Caenorhabditis elegans: one gene and its partner. The gene in region 1 interacts genetically with each later gene. Each region holds a gene or a part of one and is shown on either strand. Other genes may lie near its edges.

Region 1 (4,854 bases):
GAAGGACATCAACGACGACGCGACGACAATGGCCACCGCCGGTCGACCCAGCGCCTGGGCGCCCACTTCTCCTCCTTTGCCTGCATTTGATCAGTACGATACAAAAATGTCTACCGGGTTGAGAGGTGCGCGGAAGTAAGACAACAATGAAGGATCCCATGATTGATAGACTTAGAAGTTGAAGATATTCGGAGAAGTGTAGAGACCAGCTAAAGGGAGACTTAGATATTGAAAAGAGACGGAACAAAACATTGCTCAGTGTTTTGGAAAAGTTTGTGCTGAATTTTGAAAAAAAAAACAAAAATTTGCAGCGTCCTCATTAGTAAAAAGAACTAATAAAGATTATTAGACTTTTTCAAAAAAAACTAAAGGGTTTTATGATATTTGTTACCGTTTAATTTAAATTAGGTGAATTAGAATAACATCAAAAATTTGACAACCCCCGAGAACAATCAAGACATTCAACTTAGTTGGAAACAGGCGAAGATCGTCTTAAGGTGAGGCAGGCAGGCGGTGAGGCCTATATGATAGGCCTACTTTCAAGATCAAAAGTTTAATTTAGATTTAGAAATAATTCTGTGAATGTACCAAAATGTAAAACAAAAATGTTAAATGACAAAGTCTAGAAAAAAAAAAAAAAGAACATAGAACTACTTCAGGGAGACGGAAGAGAAAATGAGTGAATGTCTCTCTTTGGCGACAAAAAAACTCCATTGACGGAAGACGATGAGAAAGGTGACATCAAACACAACGAGAAGAGGAAAGTAGGTGAGAGAGTGAGTAGAGACGTAGAGAGTTAAGCAAAAACCGTAACAAGTGAGAAAGTGGGGAGATGCAAGGATGATGTAGCAGGAAAATGTAGAGTATGACGTGGCGACGACTATATTCAAATCTATCGAGTATTCGTCGAAGAAGAACCAAATGAAGCACAAGAGAATGATGTTGCCTCACTATGTGCGTGTGTATGTATGTGTGCGTACGGACGGAGAAAACGAAAAAGCAGGACAAAGCGAGGAATACGACGATGACGATAAAGAGGAAAATAAGAAGCGCAGACGAAACAACGGCCGCCGGGGGCCACCCGAGAAAAAGAAGTCCAGAAGGGGCGGCGAAGAGCAGACGCAGAGAATCATCTAAGCTTATGAAATTGAGAGAGAGAGAGACACTCTATGCACGTCTCTTTCTCTTCCAAACTCGCTTGGCCCGACAGCAATTTGTTCCTTTTTGTGTCTATGTCTCTCCGAGTTCTTCGTCTATCTCTCTCAGTGCCCCCCCCCCCCCCGAGCACTATTTGTCGTTGTCACACTCAGTCAGCCATCCATCCAGCCAGCCGTTGGCCCAACCCATTTCATTTCGTCTAAACGTCTGTACTCTCTTCTCTCGTCTATTCCATCTTCTCAAGTGTGTTGTGTTGAATGGATGGTGTGTGTATGTGTATGTGGAAGCACGCGGACCTCCTTCGACAATGTCTCCCTCTCTCTCTCAACCTCTCTTTCGGTTTCTTTTTCTCAGGATAAAGAGATTTTAGACGCAGATATGAAAACAGGACGGAGGACGTCTCTTTCTCCATCTCTATCTCTTTCACTCTAAGAGTGAAGCGCAATGGCTGTGTTGCTATTCCAGGGTCCCAATGCTGTGACTCAGAAATAGAGTATCCTGAGAAGAGATGCAGAGAAGAAGCGGGCACACACGATTGTATTCATATTTTTACTTCTCTGAATCTCTAATACTCCGTACAATCTCTAGTTTTTCAAGAGACAGGTGTCTATCCACCTGGTCTATCAAGCATCGGACCTTCACAGCACCAGTATGACTAGGGATTAAATATTTGAAATTGATGGGTACTGTAGTTCTATTTTTATTTTCACTTCTATGAAAAACCAAGTGATAATCTGGCCTGATTTTCTTAAAATATTAAGAAATCGATTTTAATACTTTTTTCTCAATTTTTAGCGCATAAATCTTCAATAAACATACCGCTTTCTTCAAATGATTTTCACAATAACCACAATACTTGACATTCCGACTTATTGCCCCTTCTTCACATAAAAGTCCTTTCCGCTGAGCACAGGTTACGTGAAAGCTCCTCTGAAAATTTCGTTTAAATTACAAGAAATTTAAAGAAAAATAAAAATACCTTGCACGTCGACTTGTTACACGACATACATGCACCTTTTTTCGCATCATTTGGACGTTCTTCATTGCAGATGTAGCACAGTTTATTGAATCTATAAAATATATAAATTGATCGAGATAGTAATAAAACTTCAAGATTTTTTCAAAGAAAGAGTTTAAAATGTTTAGATTTTTTGTTGTTGTTTTTTTTTTGAAAGTCGAAAAATCGAAAAACTGGAAAAAAAATTTCGGTTCAGAAATGTACCGGAAATTTTTAAAATTTGAGATTTTCCAGAGAGTCAAAAAATCGAAAGTCGAAAACTCAAAAAATATTCACCCTTGATCAGACACATTTTTCATATTGAATTACCCATATTCTTGAGAAAAACTTACTTATCAGTTGGTACATCATTTAATATGACTGGTTCCATACTATGTACGTTCCCAAATCGCACTTCTGGAATGTAAAGTGCACAAATTACATGAGCCCATCCGTTTCGATCAGTTTTTTTCAATGCTCCATAGTCAAACGGACACAATTGACAACAAAATGTTGCCTCATTTATACTGCCGGGCATCATAGCTGATGCTTTCGTACATTTTGCACAAAACCATTCGCCTTCGGGTACTTCTTGAATTCCATAACATCCTGAAATGATAAAAATTCGGTGGGGCCTAATCGGAAAATTTGGTTTTTTGAGAGAAAATCGAAAAAAAAAAATCAAATTCATCTAATAAGATGGAAAAAAGCAAAACTTCAAACAATGCTTGGAAACGTTGGATTTTTTTTCGAAATATCGGGAAAAATACTAAAATTTTTCAATTTCTGTGAACTTCTACTCACCCTGATGTACTGCAACTTCACAATTCTCTCCATCACAATAGATCAATGGATTGTCTGTCCAACCATTCTCATCTGCACAAACGCAGCATCCACCTACCATCTCCTTCATTTTTCAGCAATTTCGGGGGACTCTGTAAAAATAATTATCCATTTGAGAATACAATTCACAAATTTTCCACAAAAATTCGAAAAAACTTACGATAATTTTTTTTGGGTTACTGTAGCTGGTCAAGAGGTCAGGCGTGGCTCATTTGTATGGTGATGTGCTGTAAAAATTCGGTAAAAATTACGCAGAAAAGGGGAGATTAGAGGTATATTGCCGTAAATTATTGATTTATTATGGCCGAGCGACAAATAAAGAAACAGAACAAATAGAAATAACCTAATTTCGGAGAAAAAAGAACGTTTAACAATTATCTATAATTGAATGCGTATCAAAAATAGTATTAAAGTTTCATAGAGATATTTAAATATTAGATTCGGAAAACAAAATAAATTGAAGAATGTTTTGCTTTATAAAATACACTAAAAATCCATTTGAAAATATCAAATATCAAATTACGAAACTCTTCAGAAATTCATTGAAAAATCTTTTATGGCCATTCAAAATTTTGCATAAAGGCTAATTCTTCAAAATTTAGAATTTTAGGTAAAACTGCTATAAAAAAGTTTGAGGAATTATTGAAAAGTTTCGTTATGAATTTCGGACTTTTCGGGCCAATTTGAGTGAACAAATTTTTCATTGAAAATTTAACGCCGAGCATTAGATATTTTTCTCTCAATTTTTGAAATAAAAGAAAATGGAACTGTACAAAATTTCGTCACAAAAGACAAACGGCAGCAGTCAATCAATACGACGAATAGAGGTCATTCAAAGACAAAAAATTTTTGCAGCGTCTCTCTTTTCTCTCTCCTTCTTATTATCGGGGAGCGGCCATCGATTCGATTTTCGATTCAGTCAAGTCAAAAAAGTTATGGGCGTGAATGAATGAATATACATTTAATAGTGATAATCAAATTGAGAGAACGACAGAGAATTACAGATTGTGTATGGAAGAAAAGGAAGAAGAAGAAATACACTGATAACGACGACATCGTCAGTGTCTTTCTCTCTCTCTCTCTATCTCTCTCTCGTCACCAAACCACCATCACAATCTTCCCGATTTGAAGTCTTTGACAATGAGAGAGTATTAGACACAGACAACTAGTAGCCTACAGTAGGAGAGACCGACATCACGTTCTCGTTTGGAAGAGAGGGAGAAGCAATCGAGAAGAAGAAGAAAAAGGAGGTGAAGATAGACACATACAACTTGGCATCGTGCCAAGCATGCATGAATTCTCACAGGGGCGCAGCGACGTCGGCTCTTCTATGTCACATGCACACAAGGAGCACATACATACAAACAAGAAGGGGAAGCTTTGCTCCTTTTCTCTCTAACTTTCTGCGTTCCAGTGCTTTATTTCATATAGCCGTATGTTTTAATAAAATTAGTTGAAAAGAAAATAATATACGGATCGGAAAATATAAAAATTTAAATGAAAAGAGTCATTTGGATGCTTAAAAAATCGTCCAAGGGCGAAATAAAGTTAATAAACTTTTATATTTTTCTCTAAACCTCGCCTAACATTTTCTACCACATAACCTTATAAAAATTAACATTGTATTGTCATTGAAAAATTAAATATTGAAAATTAACGGTCAAGGTGATAAATATAAATGGAAAAGTAATCAGTATCATCATAGACACAGATGTGATCGGATATACTTCGGGTATCGAGAAAAGAAAATTTACGATGGGGTACTTGCATAACACAAGAAAATCTCTACAGAGGGGTCACGAAGGATTACGATAGTCAAGAAATCATTTTATTGATTTTTTAAAACCACTTGGGGA
Region 2 (7,015 bases), on another chromosome or scaffold:
AAACTTATTTACTTTTTACCTGTATTTTTCATGAAGTTTTTCTTTAATTTAGCAAAACTTCCAAAAAAAAAATTAAAGTAGAACTACAGCATTTAAAATTCAAATTAATTTCAATTTTAGTTGTTTGAATGTTGTGGAGTAACAAATTCATCCGATTGGCTCACATTCACAACAATTCCTGATTCATGTTGCATTGAAGAAATCGAGGGATGTGCTCGAGAGAATGCTCCACTCTTTGAGCCCGGATGCATTCACAGTGTCGAACGTTAGTCTTTTTTTTCCAAGAAGATCAAAGTGTGCTCTGTTGCACTTTCTCAATAGAGCATGATTGGGCTTATCGGAAATTTGATTGTTTTTTTAATTGCAGAATGGGTGCTCAAGAATGGAGCAATGGTCGGCGGAATTTGTGCAGTTTTGGCAGCAATTCAATTGGTCGGAGTCTGTTTCGCTTGTTGTCTTTCAAAATCAATTCTCAAGGATTTCCATGACTTTTATTATTAGTTCATAACCATCCGTTTTTCTTTGCAATCCTTATTTTAGGTTCTTTCAATCGCCGTGTCACAAATTAAACAATAATAATAATGTATAATTTATATATGAATATACGATGAAAAAGAAATTGAGGATGAAGAAAAATAAGCAACCGCATAAATAATGAGTAATAAATTCATAACTCTAAATTCGAGACAAAGACTGGGATGAAAGTGGTTTTACCCTGATTGGAGTGCTCAAAGTGTGAAAAAAAGTGTGTGAACCTTGTGCTGGAGCTGGTGACAACAGAACTTAAGAACATGAATAAACGAGATACATGAAAAATGGCAGCGAGAGAACTGATCTACAGTAACCTGAATTGAAGGGGGTTCTTTTTTGACTTTTCTCAAGCTTCTTTCTGCCCTTTTTGTCAGATTTCAATGTAATTCCACTCAAAAATATCATTTTTCACCATCTTTTCCACTCGTTGTCTCTCTTTTGCTATGTAAGAGCGCATCTTTGGGAGCCGGTTCTTAGAAATGTGCTCGTCGCAACTCAAATCAGGAAGCATTGAGAGACAACGAGTAGACGAGGAGAGTGTAGACACAGAGATGGATCATGCTCTGGGGAATGATTCTGTGAGAGGAAGGGGACCGATGGGCGCCGTCCGATGAGCAAGAGAGAGCATAAGAATAAGTCAGAAAAGTTACAAAGAATGAAGAAAAAGAAACATTTGAGTTGGTTGGGAAAAAAGTGAGAAAAGGAATGAGAATACATATAAATAGGATAAAATGACAAGAAGAGACTATCACCTCATATTAACCTGATCAACATGAGCAGGTACAGTAGGTGACCTCGAAGAGAGTGCCAGGTAAGCCTTGTGATAACTTGAAAGAGTTTTTGAAGAGACAACCCAAATGGCACAGGTTATACCAACAACCAATTGAGACACATATCTGAAAATAAGAACATTTAGGGGTTTCGAATCAAGATAAATAATTCATATTAACTAGACGCGAAATTATGCAGTCTCGGCACGATCCAATTTTGTCGAATATGCGCCTTTAAAGAGTACTGTAACTTCGAAGTCGCGTTGCTGCGGAATTTACATCGATTTTTCATGAATAGTTTTTCTTATGTTAGGCTTTTTGTGTTTGAATTGCTTAATATTTAAATAAGAATATTTTTTATCAAGAAGCGATGAAAATTCTGCAGCAACAAGAGTTTGAAACTACAGTATTCTTTAAAGGCGTATACATTTTTGCATTTAACAAACATTCGTCTTGTCGAAACCGGATGTCGCATTTTTGGCGCAAAAATCAGAAAATCAAATTTAGATTATACAGATTGAAATTTAACTGATTCACAGTTTCAAACTAACTTTAAAAGAAAAACAATAATCTCCGGAGCTGCAACTTTCGGATCCATCGGACAATCATCAACTGGATACGTGAAACCGAATAATTCTCGATCTTGAAGTCGAACACATCGATGATGAAGCCATCCTTCAAGCCAGGCAGGCATATTTACTGCCTGATACCACATAATTGCAGCATTCATTGCAGTTGGTAGAGAGTACATTATGGCGAAGGCACCGATTCTGAAAATATAATATTTGTATGATAATATGAAACGAATATCAGAAAAGCGATTCTTAAGTTTTTCTTATTTTGTTCGGTTCTTAGGAAATCCAATTTTTTCGTTTTTTTTTTCTGAAATTTTGGAATTTTAAATAAAAAATGATTTCCAGGGAATTCTCGGGTTTTAGAATAATTTATCAACTTTCCAAACTGAAATCAATATATCTACATCAGTAAACCTAGTTTGCTCGTCTTTTTCTGTACATGTTTTTCCAATTTTTCGTTTTCCAAAAATCGAAAGTATTTCTTTTCTGATTAAAAAAGCTCAGGTACTTTTGAAGATTTTCAAAAATTTGAAATATCGAACCTCAACATTAATTTCTCCAATTTACTGATATTCCTCTCAACATCGGCGTGTTGAAGTTTAATATAACTTCGAATACGGATCATTGACCAAATTCCACAAACGAGTAAAACTGCTCCGAGTGCTGCAAATAGAACATTTCTGAGAAGAAAACGAAGATAAATAACGATGGAACACACAACGAAACGAATTCAATTTCGGTCTTCCCCCACCATAATATTCACAAAAAAACTAACCCAACGATACAACGATCGGAGTGAAAAAGAAATAGACGAGAGCAGAGGGATTCAAATTTCCAACTGAACAGATTCCAGTAAATACATCTCCATCGACAGAATTTGTCACTAGTACAGTAACCGAGAGAACTGCTGGAACTCCCCAGCACATTGCGTGGAAGTATGGTGACAGAGCAGCAATTGATTCAGCTCCCCATTTCAGATTTGCCGCCAGGAACCAGGCTAGACACAGTACAAGCCACCTGAAAGAATACTTAGTATATAAAATATCATTTTAAAAAGGCTGATAGCTGTTTAAATCAAGATTAAAAATTTGGGTGTCGATTTTCGATTTTTCAATGAAAACAAAAATTTTCGATTTTTGTTTTTTTTTTGTTTGAAGAAAAAATACATTTTTTTCATGAACAAAATTTGATAAAAATTGAATTTTTTTTTTGATTTTCCGATTTTCCGGAAACGGGGTTTTTTTCATTTAAAATTTGGTTTAAAAAAAATATTTTTTAGATTTTTGTTACTGAAAATTGTCGAAAATCATAAATGTAATTTTTTTCTGAAAAATTACACTCGAAATTATAAAAATTAAAATTTTTATCAAAATATTCAAAAAGTTCTTTAAAAAAAAAATGTTTCAGTTGTCGTTTTTTTGTTGAAAAATGTGTTTGAACAAAAGAAAAACATGCCGATTTTTTTTCGAATGCACATTTTCAAAACCAGTTTTCTATTTGTGGTACAAAAAACGGTACTTTTTTCGTTAAAATACAAAAATTAACGAAAAAACTCACCACGCACAACTTGACATGAAGAAAAAGTAATGAACAACAGCAAGAGCACTACATCCAACATTTTCTCCTCCTTGCGTAACAAGTGTTGTTGGAGTAGATCCATACGTTCCACAAGCGAATCCATCTTCACCGACTACGCCTGTAGAAATACATTTTTAGTTTCTAAAAAATCTGATTTAAAAAAAACAGAAAATTCAACTCACCTATCATATAAACCGTAGAAATTGCTAGATAACAGAACGCGAGATACAAAATCGGTCGAACTGGATACGCGAATCGTGATAAATCAACAAGAAATGTGACAAGAGTGAATAAAGAGCACACGAAACATGCCACAGACCATGCTGCTGTCCAGATTCGAAGAATTCGTCGAACACGTCCATCAAACATCATTGGTACTTGATTGTCAGCTTCACATGTTAATGAACATTCAGGAAGGCGTCCACTGAGAAGAGGCAATGAAAAATGAGATCCGCTTGTTGTATGCATATGATGAGGGCATTTTTTTGGAGAAAGGACAACTTCGTTGGCAATTGTTGAAACACCGAATGTGACGTCATTACTACTTCTGTAACTTGAAATATTTTATATTTCGATCTACGGAAACTTGTTTTATTGTTCGATAAAACAAAGAATTTAGAAATCTCGATGTACATTTTTTTCGGAAAATTTCTAAATTCAAAAACTTTGATAAAAAACTATTTGACGCTTTGGAGTAGGAGTTTTTATGGGGCTCAAAAATTCGGAATAATACTTAAATTCAGCCAAACTTGTCAGTATCACAGCGGCCGTAAATTTAATTTTCAGAGAGCTTTTTTTTTTTGAAAACTCTTACGAGGTTCGGTCTTTGCAGGCCATTCTGAATTTATTATTATTTTTCTTTAAATGCAAAACCGATGATTTTAACTGAATTTACAATTTAATTTCTCGCTGTATTTAAAAAAAGGATTCTAGAACGGTTCCCGTAAATTTAAACTTTAATTCATGTTTTGGGTACTTTTGAAATTTTTGTTGTAAATATATATCAATTATAAATTCTTATTCATAAAATTATGCAGAAAACCCACTTTTTAGAGTTGCTCGACTCGCTGGAATTCTTGCCAACACACAAATCAGTTACTGGGAATTTGTTACAATCCAATTGATCTGGCCATTGAAATCCAAACTTTTTCATTAATGACTCGCATCCATTTTTTGCAGATAAACACAATTCTCGACATGGTTGAATTGGTTTTTCGAGTACTGTACAGACAGGTGCATAGACAGTACAAAGAAAGAGACGAATATCTTCTGAGCATTTAACTTTAATTAATGGATTGAATTGCGCAATTGCTGGACCAGCTTCAGATTGTGTTGTATGTCCGAGAAGATTTGGAAATACTGTTTGATTGTAATCCAGATTTTTGCACATTGGAATTGTAATATGTTCACATTTTCGAGTTGTTGAGAATCCATTCATCGATGAAATTGAAGTTGATGAGAGTCGTTGATCAGCTGATAAGCATCCGAATAAAAATAATATCAGAATATGTCGATGCATTGTAATTGATAGTTTTGAAGAGATTTCAGATTGACAAGTGTTAGTTCATAGCAGGATTCGTCTGAAAATATAAAAAATTATTAAAGAAATAGTTTTTTTGGTTATATGTATAGAAGAAGTTCAACATTATTTAGTTAATAGTTTGTGAAATGGAGAGAACAAAATTCTAGAAAAATGATTTTTGGCAAAATTTGGAAAAAAAACCGAACTTAAGTAAATAGCTAAAATCTTTTTCAGAAAAAATCGAAAAAAAATGTTTAGAAAATTAACAAAAAGTGAAATTTTTAATGAGTTGTTGATGTGGATAAACATTTTCAAAAAATTCTTCTAAACGGAGGAAAATGGCCAACAATTTTAGATATTTTACGAAAAATCTTTTTTTTTCTCGAAATATCAGAAAACCAACACAAATACTTTCCGGCAGTTGGCAAAGATGACACATTAAAAATTTTGGCTAAATTTAGGGATTTCTCTTCGAAACATTTTCTATAAACATTTTTTGGAAGGTTTTATTGGAATTCAAAATAGAAGACTCGGTCCATAAATTGACCTTCAATTGATGAGAAAACATTGAATTTTCAAAAAAAGTGAAATGGTGTAATGTTGACATTGGTTCCAAGTGCTAAATCGAATCAATGAATCGTGAAATTATAGTGAGAAACGTGGCAAAGAAAGACAAAGAATAGTAGATTTCGGTATCTAAGTGAATCTAATCTTTAGATTACTGTACAACATGCCTCTAATCTCTTTTTTGTAATACTCTCTCGTTACGCAACTTCCGAGAGAACGGAGCACACACACACAGTAAAGAATAATTACGGCTCGGAATTCGAGAGTAATTAATGATGATGATGAGCACTGACCTAATGAAAAGATCGAAAAAGAGTGAAGAGACACAGGCCACCTGCTGCTCGAGTGTCAAATGGGCAATGAACATGCAAACGGATGAGGGAGGAAGGATTCAAGAATTTTCAAACAGTGATTCATTTCGAAAATATTCTTGTTATTGTTTGGAGAGAATTGAGGAAAATATAGATGAGAATCGAATTGAGAAAAACGGGGACGATCGATCTGTAGAAGAGATAAGAGCAATGACCTAACTGGTAGAATTTTTTGGCATTTCGGAAATTAGTTTTTAGTTTTTAAATATTTAAGTTGAAGAAAGCAAAGAAAACATTTAAAACAAATTGTCTGAAATCAACGATATTCTTAAGCAAAAGGACGCAAAATATTGCACCAAAAATACGGTACCAGGTCTCGACACGATAAAGTTTTGTTTGCGCCTTCAAGGAGTACTGTAACTCGCATTGCTGCGGATTGTTTTGATTTTATATAGGTAAATTCATGGATTTTCATTGTTTTAATCAAGTTATTTAATAAATCAATATTTTCTATCGGAAAACTATAAAAAATCGATGGAAATTCCGCAGCAAAGTTTAAAGTTACAGTACTCTGTCAAGGCGCACAGCTTTCTACATTTATCAAAAATTTGGCGCGTCGAGAGGTACCGTATTTTTTGCTAAAAATCGCAGAATCGAGCCTGAAAATTATATAAATAATTTAATTGTTTTCGAAATTCAAAAAAAGATGCCAGAAATTTAATATCGACGAACTCGAGGAGCACATAAACATATTATTTGAACTTTTGAATAAACTTTTCCAACATCCGAACTGGGAGGCCGAGTTTCGCAATGTGAAGAGCCAACATACACGTCTCGTGCCGGAGATGGGTGTCAAATTCAATTCCCGAATCAAATCAAATGAACAAATAGGCCCGTCGTTTCGATGAAAAAGAACTGACGAGAGCAACACAACTGGGAGCTTGTGACCAGAAGAAAATGGAGCAAACGAGTGATTTGTGATTGATAACGGAAATGAAAAATGGACGCGGAATTGGAAATAGTGGAAAAGAAGAAGAGGTTCAGACAAGATGGTGATAAGAAGGGGGAATGCGAAAATGTTCGCGATGGGAGCAATTTGGATGATTTCTCGTTTCAATATCAGGTAGTTTTTGATGGTTGTAAAAAAATGAAGTAAACGTA

Evidence for each region.
Region 2: of zfp-1 (region 1) and mom-5, changing one enhances a phenotype caused by changing the other (phenotypic enhancement), as found in Caenorhabditis elegans (one large-scale study listed by BioGRID).

What each region holds. Positions count from the first base shown.
Region 1 is NC_003281.10:8,796,769-8,801,622, reverse strand, and holds the start of zfp-1 (Zinc finger protein zfp-1), read right to left. Parts: upstream 3,226-4,854; 5' UTR 3,159-3,225; intron 3,091-3,158; 5' UTR 3,069-3,090; coding exon 2,960-3,068; intron 2,765-2,959; coding exon 2,509-2,764; intron 2,229-2,508; coding exon 2,138-2,228; intron 2,091-2,137; exon of another isoform or gene 2,089-2,090; coding exon 1,978-2,088; intron 1,138-1,977; coding exon of another isoform or gene 922-1,137; intron 1-921. Other genes in the region: F54F2.6 (uncharacterized protein), read left to right, coding at 922-1,137. UniProt on the Caenorhabditis elegans protein: Recruits the histone methyltransferase dot-1.1 to chromatin to methylate 'Lys-79' of histone H3 and activate transcription. Recognizes and binds histone H3 methylated at 'Lys-4' (H3K4me) at the promoters of target genes.
Region 2 is NC_003279.8:9,963,599-9,970,613, reverse strand, and holds mom-5 (Protein mom-5), read right to left. Parts: upstream 5,035-7,015; 5' UTR 4,974-5,034; coding exon 4,501-4,973; intron 4,008-4,500; coding exon 3,637-4,007; intron 3,573-3,636; coding exon 3,434-3,572; intron 2,894-3,433; coding exon 2,652-2,893; intron 2,540-2,651; coding exon 2,419-2,539; intron 2,072-2,418; coding exon 1,853-2,071; intron 1,428-1,852; coding exon 1,280-1,427; 3' UTR 577-1,279; downstream 1-576. Other genes in the region: tsp-7 (Tetraspanin), read left to right, coding at 121-265, 368-501. UniProt on the Caenorhabditis elegans protein: Receptor for Wnt proteins.